Pelodiscus sinensis: one gene and its partner. The protein of the gene in region 2 interacts with the protein of the main gene of each other region in a biochemical or structural test. Links are inferred from orthologs where the notes say so. Each region holds a gene or a part of one and is shown on either strand. Other genes may lie near its edges. The genes, in order: tyrosine-protein phosphatase non-receptor type substrate 1-like and MATK.

Region 1 (8,672 bases), on a different chromosome or scaffold from region 2:
GAAGCAGCACTGTGAGTGTTGCTAAGAGAAAGGACCTCACGCTAGTAAAGAAATGCACAGCTGGCTGGAATATTTGCAGTCTGTGTCACTGTCACTAGAAAGAGATAATTTCAACTAGAGAAAGAGCCCAAAAATAATTCCCTGCTACAATGCTTAAAATTTCCCTCTGCAATGAGGCTACACAGCTAAGAAAATTAGCAGGTGCTTGCTATAAATGAGCCTGGCATTTGCAAGTCAGAAAAAGGAAAAGAAAGCTAGAGATATATTTACACAGGGCTATATGGGGCCCCAGACAGGATTGCAGGGTTGCAGGAAGGGTGTATTTCACAGGAGTGGTATGAGCAGAAAGCATGTGTAGTTCATGAGGGCAATGTTCTTCACTTCAATAATTCTTACTTGTGATTCTCCCCCACTCCCTTCTCCACAGCACTGGCAGAACCACAGAAATGTGGATTTGAATCTCTTATGCTTAGATAAATGGGATCCAGAGAAAGCAGCCCGGTTCGGGAAAATTGTTGTTGGGGAGGTGAAGGGCAGTAGTGGCCTTGATTTGGCAAATTTCTAGTTTGAGGGCAGCTTTACTAGCAAGCAGCTGGTGTCACTTTTTGGCAGGAAAGAAATATTCTGGGTTGTGTCTTTTCCCCCCACCCACTCAGAAACCTCGTGGCAGCTCTCCCGGGAACCTGTCTACCTTTGACTGAGCAGTGGCCACAGACTAGTGCATTCAAGTGTATGAAAATGGACAGACACCGTTGAAAGAACCCCTCCCTGAAAAGTTTGCACAGAATCCTCTCGCTGACAGACTAGAGAGAGGTTCTCTCACTGTCTCCTTTGAGTCATGATCAATGACATTGCCTGGCTCATGGACTGGCATTAGAGGTGGCTGGACATTAGTGTGGGCTCGCTACTCCAGCATACAAAGGCTTCCTAAGAAAGCCAGGCCTTGATTTCGGTCACACAAGTGGCCTTCCGTGGTGGATTAACTAACTGCTCAGAGCTGTCAGAGAGGGAGCCGGGTTAAGGAGTGAGTTGCAATTCAAGCTTCTGCCATGATAAAATTGTGAGTTTTGAAGGTGTCGGCAGACTCCTTGTTGTTTTTAATGCTGAGAGATACAGATAAAATTACAGCATTTCAGCTGCAAGCGAAGCACCATCGAAATGCAACAGTAACTACACGGTTCTATTCTTGGTGGAGGAGGGAAGTTTTTACTGACACTGATGGAGGGAAGGGAGTGAAAAGAGGGAAGTGCAAAAGGCAGGAGAAATAAACAAATTGAGTAAAGAAATGCACCATGATAGCGCCGTCCACGGAGCTCAAAAGTCTTTTGTGAGCATTAAACAAATCATCTGACAGAGTCAGTATTGTGAGCCAGGCACAGTACAAGTGCCTAGATTAGGCTTTGTCTACACTAGCAGAGCCCTACACGGATACAAAACTTGTGCTCACATCTGCAAAAATGGTCCAGGGATATCTGCAACCCCCTCTGCGGGTGTGGAGTGGCTATAAAGTGGCTATCTGCAAATTTGCACCATTCTAGAGAAAAAAAATTGTATCCGCAACCATATCCATAAAAACGCGCCACGGATGTCTGCAGCCACAGGTGCGGATGCCCACGAATACAAATTGCAGGGCTCTATACACTTTTGCTGGCAATTTTTTAATCTGTCAGGGTGTGAAAAAAAACCCCACACCCCAACTGCCATAAGTTTTGCTGCCAAAAGTGCCGGTGTGGACAGTGCTATGTTGGTGGGAAAGCTCATTCTGCCAACATAGCTACAACCGCACCTTGAGGGTCGTTTAATTGGAGTGGCTGAAGAGCTCTCTCCTATCAACATACAATGGCTACATAGGAAGCTGTACAGCAGCACAGCTGCGCCGCAAGAGGGTACCTAGCCTAGACCGGGTCAAACTCAGCTTCAAGTCAGTGAGTGCAATTCCCCTTATGATACAAACTTCATGGTGGATTACTAGAGCCAGAAAACGGATGCAAAGTGGTGAAAGTTGCGCTGACTGGGCATTCAGTGATTGTGCAAAGTGAGTGAGATTTGCACACTCTGAGCTGCAAAAAGGAGGGTACGGCTCGCAAAAAGCAACTAGCAGGACTGTGTAAGAAATCAGACAATGACAGCGGTGCCTGTTTTACAGCTTCCTGAAAGGGCTCATGAAAATCAGTTTGGAATATGATAGGATGTATTTAAAGACATTCCCGAATAATTCCCCATGTGAATTCTCTTATTCTGGACTAAGACTATCCACACGTGGAGTTAACCAGGAGCCACGTCCTGCGTATACGTGCCCTCGCGGCTGCCGGTTGGTGTGTAAAAAACACAGTCCGAGTGGCAGATTTGTGCCATTTTGACCAATTCACCCAGCCTGCAGATCGCAGCAGCCATATGCACCAGTGACTCGTGGTAGCATCCCAGTGCCCTCCACCAAAATTCTCACTGCTAAATGGGGTGCCCCCTCCCTGCACCCCTCTCACCTCAAGCACTAGCTGCCTATAGCTATCCCAGCAAGGGGCCAGTTCTAAGCCTGCCCAGTTGAACCCCCAGTGCCCGGTTTTCACCAGACCAGGGGGTGTTTACCTGGTGGCACAATCTCTAGATTACAGAAAAATCAACTCCTCCCCCCCCCACCACCACGCACATTACACAGCGCAAGCCAGACCCCCGTGGACCCAGGGGAGAAGCGCCCAGGTTACTCCCACAGCAGCCCAGTTACAGCCCCCCCCCGTCTTTAATGTGCCCCCTCCCCGGCTAGGGCGCTGCGGCAGCTAAAGATCAACAGACAAGCTTGCTGGGGGGGGGGGGCGCCAGACACTCCCGGGGGGGCAGGGAAGAGTCGGGGAGCAGACACTCCCGGGGGGGGGGCAGGGAAGAGCCGGGGGGCAGACACTCCCGGGGGGGGCAGGGAAGAGCCGGGGGGCAGACACTCCCGGGGGGGGCAGGGAAGAGCCGGGGGGCAGACACTACTGAGGGCAGGGAAGAGCCAGGGGGCAAACACTCCCCGGGGGGAAGATACTCCGGGGGGCACGGAAGAGCCGGGGGGGGGGCAGGGAAGAGCCGGGGGGCAGACACTCCCGGGGGTCAGGGAAGAGCCGGGGGGGGCAGGGAAGAGCCGGGGGGCAGACACTCCCCGGGGGGAAGATACTCCGGGGGGCACGGAAGAGCCGGGGGGGGGCAGGGAAGAGCCGTGGGGCAGACACTCCCGGGGGTCAGGGAAGAGCCGGGGGGAGCAGGGAAGAGCCCGGGGGGGGGGGCTCACGCCAGCCTGCCCACCGGGAGCAGCATCACTTACCGGGCCAGGCGAGCAGGCCGAGGAGCAGCAGGCAGGTGAGCCCCCGGGCCGGGGCGCGGGCGCGGCGGGCGCCGGGCTCCATGGCGGGCGGCTGGCGGGGACAGAAAGGAGGAAGAGTCGCATGAAGGGGCCGGCTCCGCTCGGGCTCAGGGCCGCCCCCCGGAGGAGGAGGAGGAGGAGGCGTCGCGCCCCCCACCTGGGCAGCCGGCTCGGGGGACCGGGCGTCGCTCGCCGGCCCGCCCGCTGCAGCCCGGCCCCTGCGGCGGGTGTGTGGCCGCGGCGCGGGCTCCCGCTCCGGTTCCTGGCGCTGGCAGCCCCCCCGGTTGCCTAGCACGGAGGAGGCGGCTTCCAGGCACGTACCCGGGCGCAGGAACAGCCCCCCCGGGCCGCCCCGATTTAAGGTCGCTCGCCGGGCGGGTGCAGCCCCGGGCCGGGCTCCACACCCCCCTGCTGCGCTACGGTCATCCCGGAGCAGCCCCGCGTTGCCGGCTTAAGGTGGGCCGGGCGAGTTCCCTCCCCCGCGCCTGGCAGCTGCTTCTGGGGAGGGCGCGGAGCGAACCGCGTGCCCCCGGCGTCGCCCTTTGGCTTTGCCCGCTGCTGTCACTTCCTCCGCCAGGGGAGCCCTGGTCTGCCCCGAGCCTGGGGAAAGGCTGAGGAAGGAGGGCGGGAAGCAGAGGGAGTGAGGGGATGGGCTTCCCAGTGGTTAGAGCTCCAGTCTGCAACTTGGTAGACGGGGGGCGCGAGTCCCTGTCGTACCACAGCTTCCCTGCGTGCCTCGATTCCCCCTCCGTGCACTGGGGGTGGCAGCCCTGCCCTGCCCCTCAGGAGGACAAGCAGGTGGAATCACATTCTTGAGGAAGGGGCTCAGAGATGTCAGTGGGCAGCATGGAAGTGCTGTGGGGCAGGGCCTGGCTTGTTCTGTGTCTGTGCAGCACCTATCACAATGTATCCAAGGGGTAGCTCAATGTATCCAAGGGGTAGCTCAATGTATCCAAGGGGTAGCCTTGTTAGTCTAAATCTGCAAAAGCCATGAGAAATCCTGTGGCACTTTATAGATTAACAGATTTATTGGCACATAAGCTTTCGTGGGCAAAGACCCACTTGTCAGATGCATGTAGTGGAAATTCCAGAGGCAAGTATAAATACACAGGCATAAGAAAAGAGTAGGATCAAGAGTAAGGCTGGAGATAACGAGGTCAATTCAGTCAGGGAAGATAAGGCCCACTTTTTTAGCTGCTGATGTGGAGGTGTGGAAAACCAAGAGAGGAGAAACTGCTTTTGTAGTTGGCTAGCCTTTCACAGTCTTTGTTTAATCCTAAATGGATGGTATCAAATTTGCAGATGAACTGTAGCTCAGCAGTTTCTCTTTTAAGTCTGTTCTTGAAGTTTTTTTGTTGCAGGATGGCTACTTTTAAATCTGCTACTGTGTGTCCAGGGAGATTGAAGTGTTCCCCTACAGGTTTTTGTATATTGCCATTCCTAATATCTGATTTGTGTCCATTTATTCTTTTACGTAGCGACTGTCCAGTTTGGCTAATGTATATAGCAGAGGGGCATTGCTGGCACATGATGGCATAGATCACATTGGTAGATGTGCAGGTAAATGAACACTTGATGGTGTGGCTGATCTGATTAGCTCCTGTGATGGTGTCGCTGGTGTAGATATGTGGGCAGAGTTGGCACCGAGGTTTGTTGCAGGGATTCATTCCTGAGTTAGAGTTACTGTGGTGTGCTGTATAGTTGCTGGTGAGAATTTGCTTTAGGTTGGCAGGTTGTCTGTGGGCGAGGACTGGCCTGCCTCCCAAAGCCTGTGAAAGTGAGGGATCATTGTCCAGGATGGGTTGTAGATCACTGATGATGCATTGGAGAGGTTTTAGCTGAGGACTGTAGGTGATGGCCAGTGGTGTTCTGTTTGTTTCTTTGTTGGGCTTGTCTTGTAGTAGGCGGCCTCTGGGTACACATCTCGGCTCTGTTAATCTGTTTCCTCACTTCCTCAGTCAGGTATTGTAGTTTCAAGAATTCTTGGTGAAGATCTTGTAGGTGTTTGTCTCTGTCTGAGGGATTGGAGCAAATGCAATTGTACCTTAGTGCTTGGCTGTAGTAGACAATGGATCGTGTGGTGTGTCCGGGATGGAAGCTGGAGGCATGGAGGTAGGCATAGAGGTCAGTAGGTTTTCGTTGTAGGGTGGTCTTTATGTGACCATCATTTATTTGCACCGTAGTGTCCAGGAAGTGGCTCTCTTGTGTAGATTAAACAAAGGATTAAACAAAGAGGATGTGTCTAGACTAGTCAGTTTTTCCGGAAAATCAGCCGCTTTTCCGGAAAAACTTGCCAGCTGTCTACACTGGCCACTTGAATTTCCGCAAAAGCACTGACTTCCTACTGTAAGAAATCAGTGCTTCTTGCGGAAATAGTATTCTGCTCCCGTTCAGGCAAAGCTTTTGCACAAAAGGGCCAGTGTAGACAGCTCAGATTTGTTTCCGCAAAAAAGCCCCGATCGCGAAAATGGTGCTTTTGCCGCAAAAGTGTTTTTGCCGAAAAGTGTCCTTGCCAATCTAGACGCTCTGTTCCGAAAATGCTTTTAACGGAAAACTTTTCCATTAAAAGCATTTCCAGAAGATCATGCCAATCTAGGCGCAGCCAGACTGTGAAAGGCTAGCCAACTACAAAAGAAGTTTCTCCTCTCTTGGTTTTCACACCTCCACATCAGCGGCTAGAAGTGGGCCTCATCCTCCCTGACTGAATTGACCTCGTTATCTCTAGCCTAACTCTTGATTGCTACTCTTTTCTTATGCCTGTATATATATATACCTGCCTCTGGAATTTCCACTAGATGCATCTGATGAAGTGGGTCTTTGCCCATGAAAGCTTATGCACCAGTAAACCTGTTAGTCGATAAGGTGCCACAGGACTCCTCGTCGCTAGCACAATGGTGTCCTGCCCGGACGGGGACGCTCAGGTGCTACCATAATACACATTTAATAGTCAGTTATTAGAAGTGGTTGGCACTGCCTTAGCGAGAAGGGTAGGAAGATGTGGGGGGCTGGGAACAAATGGGGTGAGAATGGAGGAGTTGTGGTGGAGGGAGGGGGAGTCTCTTTGCAGCCTACTGGAGAGAGCCCCCCGCCACCGGCAGCCTCTTGTTAAATTCTGAGGGGAGAGGAAGAATCCCTGCCCCGATGGCGCTGACCCCACTCTCAGACACACCCACCCGCAGCAGACAAATCCCCGGCACCCCATCCTTCCCCCCCGGTGATAGGTCTCCATCTCCCCTCAGACACCTCCAGCCACACTGCCCGCCCCTCTGACGCCTCTGGAGCTAAGCGGGAACCCTTCCAGCCAGGGCATTCAGAGGCGTTTGGTTGCCAAGTGGTACCAGGTCCCTCCCTGGTGTGGCGATGAGAAGAGCTTTGTGTGAGAGGGAACGATGAACAGCTTCCCAGCTGAGCACCCTGCGACGTGCCGTTTGTCACAGGCCGGCGAGGAACATTGCCCACCAAGGGAACAAAAGCCCCAGGTGGCGAGGGAGAGAAGGGGGGAGGAAGATGGAGGCGCTGGGCGGGTGAAAAGCGGCGGAAGAACAGGGCAGAGGAAGAAAGGGAAGGGAGAAGGCAGAGTCTGGTTTGCTCTTCTCACCGTGCAGTGTGTTTCAGGGTATGTCTACACTGCCATAAAAACCCATGGGGATGAGTCCCAGCGGCTAGGTCAGCTGATTCAGGCTCGGGCTATGGGGCTAAACATAGTGTGGACATGTGGCTCTTAGCCCCACCCGCTTTGGGGTGTCAGACCCTGAATATCTACACTGCAGTGTCATAGCCCTGCTGTCCCAGCCTGGAGAGCCCAAATCAGCTGACCTGGGCCAATGGCAGCCACATCACGGGGCTTTTCTTGCAGTGTCACCACACCCCCAGTGATGCGTGTCCTGCGGGATTCCAGGCCCACAAGCATGGCATTGCTATGCTACCGCGCTTCCGAGAGACCCTCCGGAGTGGAGGGAGGCAAACAGTCTCCACTGTTCAGATCTTGGCTTTCTCTCTGCACTTGGAAAACAAGGGGCCAGTTGTGGCCTGGGCGTGCCTACCTGGAAATGAGCAATGATTAACTCCTTTAACAATGGGCATACCATCTACAGACATGTTTTTGTTAGTCTATAAAGTGCTACCAGACCATTTGTTGCTTTTTTCTGTAACAGATTAACTCGGCTACCCCCTGAAGTTCCTTTAACAATGGTTAGCTGCAGTGTTTCCTCCTTTTCCACCCCAACTTCTTAAAGTTTTCCCAGCTACAGGCTAACTCGGCTCCCCCTCCGAAGCTTTTTTCCACTCATGTGCAGAATACATTTTGTGATGTGCACTGAGGCATGGGCAGATGTGCACCACCATTAGAAGGACACGCTGCTGGCTGCGTGCAGCTGTGCGTGCTCTGCTAATTAGCAGGGTGGCATTGGAATGTCCCCCGGGTGGCTGCCCAAGCACTTATAAGGAACACTGGTCACAGTTGTCATTTGCGACCGATTTGGGTCAGAACAGATGGCGATGTAAGGCTGTGTCTGCCCAGCAGGCCCTGCAGGAATTCACTGCTGTACCTGAACCTATCCAGCAAGCAATATGAATGCACAGCACAGCAGTCATAGGGAATCAAAGCTGGGGAGAGGCAAATATTTGGGGGAGTCTTTGCAGCTGTCTTAGCTGCTTGTCTGAAAAAAAATCCTTGATTAGGGCCAGAGAGACCAAATATTCTTATGCTCACACTGAACACAAATCCCAGCTAGCGACTGTCCCATGCTAGATTTCAGCTAGAGAGTGGCTGCAGACCTTGCTCCATGAGTGCTGTCTAGATCAAGACTAATTCCAAAGTTCTGGAGAAGTTTGCTGTAATTCTTCCAAGAGCCTGGCTTGCAGCCTCCCTCCGCCCCCATTAACCGTAACACTCCCCCTTGGGAGGATGAGAGAGTGCCGCATTTACTCTCTTGATTAGTATCGAGCTGTAAACAAAAAACAAAGCGGTCTCAAGTGATTTGGAACCCCCCAAGCCATGCATATTATGACTTCATGTTCTTACCACCGCAACCCCTCTCTCTGGCCTGTTGTTTGCTACACCCACGGGTTGCATCTGGTCTGAATTTAATTTGCATGCTCTTGAAAATAGGGAACATGTTTTCCGGTGCCTGTGCAGCCCCGTGAAACTCTTCACACCTGATTAATGACTGGGTGCTACCTTAATTATACAAATATGTGTGATCAGTGTTATTCCAGCGGAACCAATCGCTGTCCTAGGTGAAAAGAAACTTGCTCCCACTGTTTTTTATCTCCCCTTTCTGGCAAGTGTGCGCATTGGAAACATGTCCACATTTATGCTCCATTTGAGGCTTTT
Region 2 (9,495 bases):
GCAGTGATGCCCTAGACCGTCCATTCGCCTCCTTTGTTTTATGATAGAACTGCCTGAGCTACTTTATTTTAACTCTGCATTTCTGGGCGTCCCTGGCGTATCTTTTCTCCACCATGGCCTTTGCGACTTTCACATAGCTAGCGACATTTCTTTGCTGGTTCAGAGCTCAAAGAGAATGGATTTCTCTCCCCACACCTCAATGAGATCCAAGCTCTCCTGCATACTCCATGCTGGCACTCTTCTGCATCCCTGGGAACTGGAGCTCATGAGACTTGAAGTCATGGCTACCCATGCTGCTCGGCCACACAGGAAATGAAATCAGACTTTCCCAGGGCTTTTCCAGTTCACAGAGAGCAGTTGAGGCAAAAGTTCTGGCCAGAGCAGTCAGAGCAGGGCATGGTGGGATGCTTCCCAGAGGCCAAGAACCTCAACTTTCTCCACGCTGGGTCTATTCTACCGTAAATTTAACCAGCAAGTTTGAGGACTGTTACTTCTCATGAAATAAGGAATACCCAACACTGACTTCAGCAGCCCTTACGGTTGACAAGACAAACCTGGTAGTGTGGACATACTGTTGAGAAAATCAACCTTATACAGCTACATTCATTGTAAACTTCTAATGTAGACCAGCCTGAGAGGGGACGTAACAGCTCTCAAGTACCTAAAAGAGTGTTACAAGGAAGAGGGAGAAAAATTATCCTCTTTAACATCTGAGGATAGGACAAGAAGCAAGAGGCTCAAATTGCAGCAAGGGAGGTTTAGGTTGGACATTAGGAAAATCTTCCTAATTGTCAGGGTGGTCAAACACTGGAATAAATTGCAAGAGGGGTTGTGAACTCTCCATCACTGAAGATTTTTAAGAGCAGATTAGAAAAACACCTGTCGGGGATGCGCTAGATGGTGCCTGGCACTGCCATGAGTACAGGGAACTGGACTTGTTGATCTCTTGTGGTCCCTTCCAGTTCAGTATTCTATGATTCTGTGGGGTAAGGAGGCCACAGCTGGGTGTGGGCACCACCCAGCTCCACCATGCAGCCCAGACCACAGTGGGAGCTGGCAGCTTTGCCCATGACTGGGTATGGTTCCACTCCTGACCCCAATCTTGACCCTGGGCTAGGAGAGGAGCTGCAGCCAGGCTGTGGTGGGGGCCAACTGCCGGGCATGGAGCCGAGTCTTAAGACGAAGCCAGGCAGGTGGATTGAGTCCCTGGCTAGGGATGGGGTGGAGCTGGGTGCTTGTTCTTCCTGCTTCCTATGAGACTGGCCCTACCGCAGTCCCGCAGAATGTTTGTGTGCCCGATGGTTTGAGGACCTCTCGACTAGCAAGTGATTACAAGTCCGGTAGGTGATTGGATAGATGGTAATTATCCCAAGCTCTCATCACTTCAACTTCACACTCAGATACTCATTAAACCTGGTTTGTACAAACTCCATTAAAAGTTTGGTTTGGGTTTTTAGCATTCAGCATTTTAATCTCAAAAGCAAATTCTTGGATTATGTTTTAACTAACTGGAAAATACTTGATCTGTTCACCATTAAATAGAACCCAGCTGTGCTTCCTGTTAAACGCACATTCAGTTGCTTTTTTCTTTGCACATCTGGGGAAAAGACCTATAATCTCAAATTAGAGTGATTTTTCTCTCCAAGCAAACAGGTCAATTGGAATTCCTACGAACAAAGGTTTTGGTTTATATTAGTCAGTCCTGGGGGACTCTGCAGTTTTACTCTGGCTCCAAATGCAGCAATTGCAGAATTCCCCCAGCACTAGAAATGGATGGATTGACTGCAGCTGATGATGCATTCCTTAGGATGAGCTAAGGTCCTGACCTCCAAGAAAACAGTGTGGTGATAATCTTGGGAGGAGTAGAATTATTGCTTTCCATGCCAAGGTGCTACAGAAATGCCATATTCAAGTTGCTGTCAGTCTGCAAGGCAGTTCAGGGAACAGTAGCAAACACAGAGGTTCTTCCCGTGCTTAGACCTTCTTTGGTTTGATTTGCATTCTGCTTTTTAGGCAGTTGTGACCTATCAGAGTTATTTTGCTAGCTGATTGGCATATCTTCTAGAAGATTTCCTTCAGTAACCAAGTAGCTCAGTGTTTTGTGTTAATGAGGAAATGAGTTTGCAGATTAGTTCATGTTTATGTGCTGGCTTAAGATGATAAGAGTGTAGGGAGAAGCAAGAGAAGAACTTCAAATTCTAAACACAGAGCATATCAAAGTCCAGAGTTCATCTGCCAATGTGATACAAGATGGTCAGCACGTATGAGACATCTGAGACAGCACTGTGCCAAAAAACTAGAGTACCCTGAGGGGTGCGTCCTGGTTCTCCTCTTCATGCCTTTGGTCATCTTTCTCATAATTCCCCTCCCCACACAGATTTTGAAGCAACTATTCACCTAGTGCTGAGGAGATGCCGTGGAAAAGCTAGTGGCTAAGCTGCTGGACAGGAGTTTCTTGCCCAACTCTTCTACTGACTTTTTGAGCAGTATTGGGTAAGTTTCTTAGTCTTTCTCTGCCTCAGTTTCCCAGCTGTAAAAGAAGGATAAAAGCTCTGCCTTTCTCTCTCAATTTTTGGCTACTTAAATCAAGGACAGTCTCTTGCTGTTTTAATACAATGCCTAGTGCAGTGAAGCTTTCAGCTCAGTTGCATCTTTTTGGTGCTAACATCATCAACAGTCCAGTGCAAAAGCGGCGAGGAGTCCTGTGGCACCCTAGAGACTAACTGAAGTGTTGGAGCATGAGCTTTCGTGGGCAAAGACCCACTTCATCAGAGGCATGCATCCGACACTTAGTCTAGAAGGTGCCACAGGACTCCTCGCCACTTTTGCAGATTCAGACTAACACAGCTCCCCCTCTGATACTGGAGTCCAGTGCAATGAGTCAGTTTGTGATTCATGGTGGGACTCTGAAGAGACATGGTGGAGTCTAAACTCTAATGAAGGTTGGTTTAGATTTGTGTGCAGTGTCCTATTTACTGTTGAAACAAAAAACAGGGCAATGTAGCACTTTAAAGACTAACAAGATGGTTTATTAGGTGATGAGCTTTCGTGGGCCAGACCCACTTCCTCAGATCAAATTGTGGAAGAAAATTTTGTTTCAGCTACACTAGACTAACGCGGCTACATTTCTATAACTAGTTACTGTTGTGCTTTGCTGAGAGCTAGGAAACTGCTTCCTTGCCCCTTTCATTCACTGCCACTTTCTTGCAATGAAAAGGCTGCAAAAACCCTTCCCAACTTTCTAACCCAATGGTAGCATGAATGCTGCACGTCGGACCAAATCCAAGTGCCTCTTCATGCTGAATTTGGTTTGTAAATCCTTGTAAAATCCATTCCAGTCATTTCCCCAGTGACATGTCGTAAGCCAGAGTGGAGAATATTCAGCAGATGCATTTACTGCAGCAGGTTGCTTGTTATCACACAGGGCGCTGCAAGTAGCAGGGGCTAGCTGCTCAGCTGGGGTGGATTGGTATTGCTCTGTTCCACCGACATCAGTGGATCTATGGCAGGACACAGGGTATTGTAACAGGAGTATCTTCATTTCAGGGATAATAGAAGGGGGAAGGTATTTAGGGATCCTGACCCAAAGGGGGTGCAAGCTGTGACGGCATATGGCTAATGCATTACACTTCTACAGCTCTCGTCATGTAAGGCTCTGTCTGTGCTGTGCAGTCATTAGTTGTGCCTCATGCTGTGCCTAGGAGGTAGGTCGGTATTCTTTCCCTTCACAGATGTTGGGGCACAAAAATGGAAGTGGTCACCGGGGATTGGGCTAGGGCATAGGCGTGCGCATGGGGTGAACCCAGGCACACCCTAATGTCTCCGGCCAGCTAGCGGCTGCTGGAGGAGGAGAGGGATTTGTGACGAGGCGCCGCAGCCCCTCACTTTAAATTCCCCACAGCCATCACCAGGGCACTGTGGAGCAGAGAGGGAGCATGCATGGCGTGCTCAAACGCCGCGCAAGAGGTAAGATGCCCGGGCGTGGCATGACGTCACGGCCTGGGACTTTCAAACCGTGTGGCCCAGCTCCAGAAGCAGCTGGGGCGGAGGCCCGAAAACACCAGCTGGCCTGAGCCATTTTTGCACCCCAGACCCGGCAGCACCGCCCTTTGTGTACCCAGGGGCACCCCCCCCAGCCTGGCAGCACCGCCCTGCGCCCTGGGGACGCCCCTGCCCAGCCTGGCAGCACCGCGCGGCCCCAGTGAGGCTCCCCGGAGGCACCCTGCCCGGCCCAGCAGCACCACGCAGTGCCCTGGGGACGCGCCCACCCAGCCCGGCAGCACCGCACGGCCCCACTGAGGCTCCCTGGAGGCGCCCTCGCCCCGCCCAGCAGCACCACGCGGCACCTTGGAGGCGCCCAGACTAGGGCCTGGCCAGCCTGTAGCTTGGGCCAGCTCAGACTCCAGCCCCAGGAATCAGAAGGCAGAAACCGAAGGTAAGGTAAGGAAGGGGAGGAGAAGGGGGGAAAATACGAGGAAGAGGTGGAAGAGGAAGGGGCAGGAGGGGAGGAGGGGGGACAGGGTGATGCTAGGAGAGGAGAGGGGCATTGAGGGTTAGAGCGAGGAGGGGGAGGTGCTGGGAAAAGGCTTGAAAGAAGGGGTGGGCATGAGAAGGGCGGGGATGGAGCAAGGCATGTGCGAGGGCACAGGGGCATGAGGGGAATGGGGGCAGAAGGAGGTGAGGGGGTGGGCATCAGGGAAAAAGGGGGCAGGGGCAGTGAGGGAAGGGGGAGGCACCAGGAGGGTTCAGGGCTAAGGGAAGGTGCAGGTGCCAGGGGATTCTGGGGGTGAAGCAGAAGGGCAGACACCTGCAGGGGAGGGACCAGCACCAGGGGAGAGAGGCAGGGGAGGTGTTAGGAGGGGGGATGAGGAGGGGTAGCTCACATGATCAGAGTGGGGCTACTGGAGGAGTGGGCACAGGGGAGAGAAGGGCTGGTGGAGGAGGGCAGGTCACACACATTGGGGTAATGCAACTGCAGATAGTTGGGGGGGGAGGCAAACTAATCCCTATTGGTAGGAGGATGGTGGGAAAAGTCCTTAGGGGGGGGTCACATGACACCATTTACTTCTGGCCATGTGTCCATCTTGCCCCCAGAGTGTTACCTCCAGAGCTGTGGCCCATGGGGGTCGGGCGTGGTTAACTGGGGTCAGGGTTGTGGCTAATGGGAGTCAGGGGGTGTGGCCCATGGGGGTCGGGCGTGGTTAACTGGGGTCAGGGTTGTGGCTAATGGGAGTCAAAGTAAATTTTTAAAAAATTCTTTGGGGCACACCCTAATGAGATGTGCTGCGCACACCTATGGGCTAGGGCCAGAACATTTTCCTTCCAAAATGTTCAAAATCTCCCCTGCCACACGGTAATTCTCGTTTTGTCACTTGCTGAGCACAATGTCTGGGACGTTTGTGTGGGCACCACCACAAAACAGGGAGTAGCAGAACAATAACTCACTGTTTCATATCAGCTGATTGTTAGTTTGCTTGGGTGTCACAAACTGCTGCATGGTTTCAAATCAGACAGCTGCTGATACTTCCTCTGTTGGGATGTGAACTTGTGCAGCAAGGGGGCTAAAGTCACCTCGGGGTAAAGCGTCATCGAAGACTGAATCATCTCTGGTTAAAACTGGCTGCATAAAAGCAGGCACTAGGACCTCCAAGGCACTGCCTCTGCAGCCCAGCCTCAAAGAGAAATCAGGAAATAAAGCGGAGAGGAGTTTCTCAGAGTGGCTGTTCTGTGAACACGGCTGCGCAGGAGGTAAAGTTCTGCTCCATCATTTGAACTGGGAATTTATTCTACAAGTTCTTGCGACTCAGGTCTGGGCTTGGCTTGGCAGTGAGCAAACCTGCAACGACTTTGGTGCCAAGGGCTTTGCATGGGTGCTGCAGGAAGGTAAGCACAGGGTCTGGCTAGGGCAGTAGCCGCGGCTGGGTAATACGTTTACCTTCTCCCCTCCAGGAGGCCAGAAGCGCTGGGGACCTTCAAAGTGCTACACTCAGCGGGATAAACAGCAGTGTCCTCCCCTTGGTGCTGCAAGACAATAAGCTGCCCTCTGTCTCAGCGGGTGCTTGTGCTCAGGGAGCCGTCTGACCCCATGTGGTGGGTAGATGGGAGGGGGGCAGTGTGTGCGGCACCGCCAGTCTGCTGTCTGACACCGAGCTGTGGGTAGGTTTCCTGTAACCTGTCTGCACAGTTGCCAGCTCTTCCACTGCTGTTTGCACTGATGCAGACACTTGTCCAGTGCACTTGTGCCAGGCAGGACTACGCAGTGAACGGGCTGGGCTGTATGTTTCGATATCTCCAGGAGCATGTCAGAGACCTGCAATTGCACAGGCTACAGCAATCAAAAGTGGTTCCAAAGGGGTGGAACAGTTCAGGACTGGGAGGGGCAACCTAGCCTAGTGGGGGAGCTGCACGAGCGGCCCTCCTTCATCTCAGTGGACTGTAAGTTTGTGGGCGCCAGGGCAGTCTCCTGGGATGGGGTAGCTCCGCTCACTGCAGGATGGAGCGACTGAGCCGTGGCAGCATTGTGATTGGATGCGGGGGAGCGCGCAGCTCTCACAGTCAGCGCCCTCCTCACTTCACACGCCCTGGCTTTATGTGCGGGTCACGTCGGTAGGAAAAATCGATGTGGATGAAAATCAGCAGAATCTGGCAATGGCAGCACTATCTCACGAGCCACACACACAACCCTGGCCGGCTGCAGGTTGCCCACCGCTGGGTCGGGGCTAGCGTTTCCTGTCCCCTAGGCCCGACAGATCGGGACTGCCGGTCATGAGAGGCATTGGACAGGAGCTTCTCATCTGGATGGATCTTCAGTTATTTGTGCATGAGGTTTCCACCGGTAGGGCCCATGAATCTCAGCAGTGGGATCCATGCAGACAAAGCGTCTCACAGACCCGCGCCTACTGTCAGGCCTTTCCCACCGCTTGGGAACGGCAAGGGACCAAAACAACCAACTTTAACCCTCCCAAGATGCCGGGTGCTGACTCCTGTGAATGAGCTTGGTAGACCAGGCACTTGCATCATCAAAACTGCCACCGTGAGGTCGTGAACCCCCCTCTTAACCTAGCAATGGCTGCATTGAGCCAGTCTCACAAGAGGCTGGGTCGGGTGCAGAAACTTGCCCTCTGGTTTGTTCTTCCCAGGGCTGGCCAGCAGCCAACTTCCTTCAGCATGACAATCACTGGAAACCTGTAAGCCCAGCTACCCCGACCCCCGCCAGTGCAGGACTGATCACTCCTAGCTGAGCCAGAAGTGCTCTCCCTTTGGTAGGTAGGAGCCAGTAGAGAGCATCGTTGTCCTCTTCCTGTGCGTGATGCTTCAACGCTTTCTCAGTGCTATAGCAAGACCTGCTGTTCCGATCTGCCTGCTGCCTCTGGCTCAGCAGAGCAACATTCACACCTGAGCTTTCAGCAAGCCTCCTCCAGGGAAGCGTGGTCAGAGATAACAGCGTCCAGTGGTCAGGTTCCACCTGACAGGCTGGTTTGGTCAGCCTCATGGGTGTGTTTTGTGCCTCGTTCAGTAGGCTTTGCTTCCGCTTCATCTCCTGTGATGGTGGTAACAGGCTCCCTTCCTTGACCATGACTTTGGTTTGATTGTAGTGAGGTAGGTGAATGGAAAAAAGAAAAAACCCACAATTGATTTGCCCTCTCCTGAATGCTTGTGAATTGAAGAACATCAGAAAAACGTAAGACTGGCCAGACTGATTCAGATCAGTGGCTCATCTCGCCCCATATCCTGTCTTCCCCCAGTATTCGGTGCCAGATGCTTCAGAGAAAATGAACAGAACAGGGTCATCAACAAATCATCCAGGCCAGCTTCTGGCAGTCAGAGGCTCAGGAACATGGGGTCAGTCCCTGACCATCTAGGGACCATCTCCATGAATAGACCTATTCTCCAGTAACTTTTCCTTTTTTGAATCCAGTTAAACTTTAGGCCTTTACAATATCTTTTGACAATGAGTTGCCCTGATTGTGTGTGGTGTGAAGTACTCCTTTTGTTTGTTTTAAACCTGAGGTCTCTTAATGTCATTGGGTGACCCCCTAGTTCTTATGTTGTGAAAAGGGAGAACTAGCGTTTCCTTAGTCACATTCTCCACACCATTCATCATTTGATAGACCGCTATCAGATATCCCTTTAGTCATCTCTTTTCCAAGATGACCAGACTTATTCTCCTCTTATGGCAGCTGTTTCAAATATTCTTTATTACCATCTCTGTACTTTTTCCATTTTAATAGATCTTTTTTGAGATGGGGTGACCAGAACTGCACACAGTATGCAAGATGTGGACTTACCATAGATGTATACAATGGCATTATGATTCTTTCTTTCTTTCTTCTTATCCATCCCTTTCCTTGTTATTCCCAACATTGTTAGCTTTTTGACTGCTGCTATACATTGAGTAAAAGGTTTCATGGGATTTCAAGATCTCTTTCTGCAGTGGTAACAACCAATTTAGCCCCCAGAATTTTGTATGTGGATCATGTTTTCCAATGTGCATTACTTGCATTTATCAAGATTGGGTATCACCTGCCATTTTATTGTCCAGACTCCTGGTTCAGAAAGATCCCTTTGCAGCCAGCTTTGGACTTAAGTATCTTGAGTATCATCTGCAAACTTTGCCACCTCACTGTTTACCACTTTTTCCAGGTCATTTATGAAGATTTTGAACAGCACTGGTCCCAATACAGCTCGTTGGGACTCGACAATCTATCTTTTTATAAACCAATATGTATTCCTACCCTTTGTTTCCTGTCTTTTAACCAGATACCAGTCCATGAGAGGCCCTTCCCTCTTATCACAATATCGCTTCCGTTGCTTAAGGGCTTTTGGGAAGGGCTTTCTGAAATTCCAAGGTGGCAAGTGCTGGCATATTAGTTATGAATATTAAAAAAATTGCTTGAGCCCCAGCACTGAATTCACTGGATCATCCTTGTCCATATGCTTTCTGGCCCCTCTCAGAGAATTCTAGCAGATGGGATGGTGAGACATGATTGTCCTTTGCAAAAGCCGTATTAACCCCTTCCCGTCATGATGGGTTCATTGATGTATCTGGTAATTCTGCTCTTTATCACATTTCAACCAATTTGCCTGGTATTTAAGTTAGACTTTCTGATTTGTAATTGCCAGGATCACCTCTGGAAATTTTTTTAAAAATTGGCATGTTAGCTATCTGCTGGTCACCTGGTCCAAAAGCCGATGTAAGTGATAGGTTACCTATAAGAGTCAGTAGTTCTGCAATTTCTTGGTTGATACAGCCTGGGTCTGGTGACTTATGACTGTTTAATTTATATTTACCTAGGCATTTCCATGGCTCCTCTAGGATCTGAGTATGTCTTAACATTTTGGGGAGGAAGACCATGCTTTTATAGCCACCCACATTTTAAAGGTAGGGTGCTCAGGCACAGAGATTTAGAGCCAGATCCTCAATTGTATTTAGGCACATATCTGATGGAAATCAATTGTAATTAGGTGCCTAAGTCCCTGTGAGGACCTGGGTAT

Evidence for each region.
Region 1: the proteins of MATK (region 2) and tyrosine-protein phosphatase non-receptor type substrate 1-like form a complex in vitro, tested with the Homo sapiens proteins (3 studies listed by BioGRID, with this or other methods). The link is inferred for Pelodiscus sinensis from reciprocal best matches to the Homo sapiens genes MATK and SIRPA.

Annotation. Positions count from the first base shown.
Region 1 is NC_134728.1:2,957,016-2,965,687, reverse strand, and holds the start of tyrosine-protein phosphatase non-receptor type substrate 1-like, read right to left. Parts: upstream 3,936-8,672; 5' UTR 3,495-3,935; intron 3,390-3,494; 5' UTR 3,381-3,389; coding exon 3,299-3,380; intron 1-3,298. UniProt on the Homo sapiens protein: Immunoglobulin-like cell surface receptor for CD47. Acts as docking protein and induces translocation of PTPN6, PTPN11 and other binding partners from the cytosol to the plasma membrane.
Region 2 is NC_134729.1:30,052,698-30,062,192, reverse strand, and holds the start of MATK (megakaryocyte-associated tyrosine-protein kinase), read left to right. Parts: upstream 1-5,257; 5' UTR 5,258-9,303; coding exon 9,304-9,382; intron 9,383-9,495.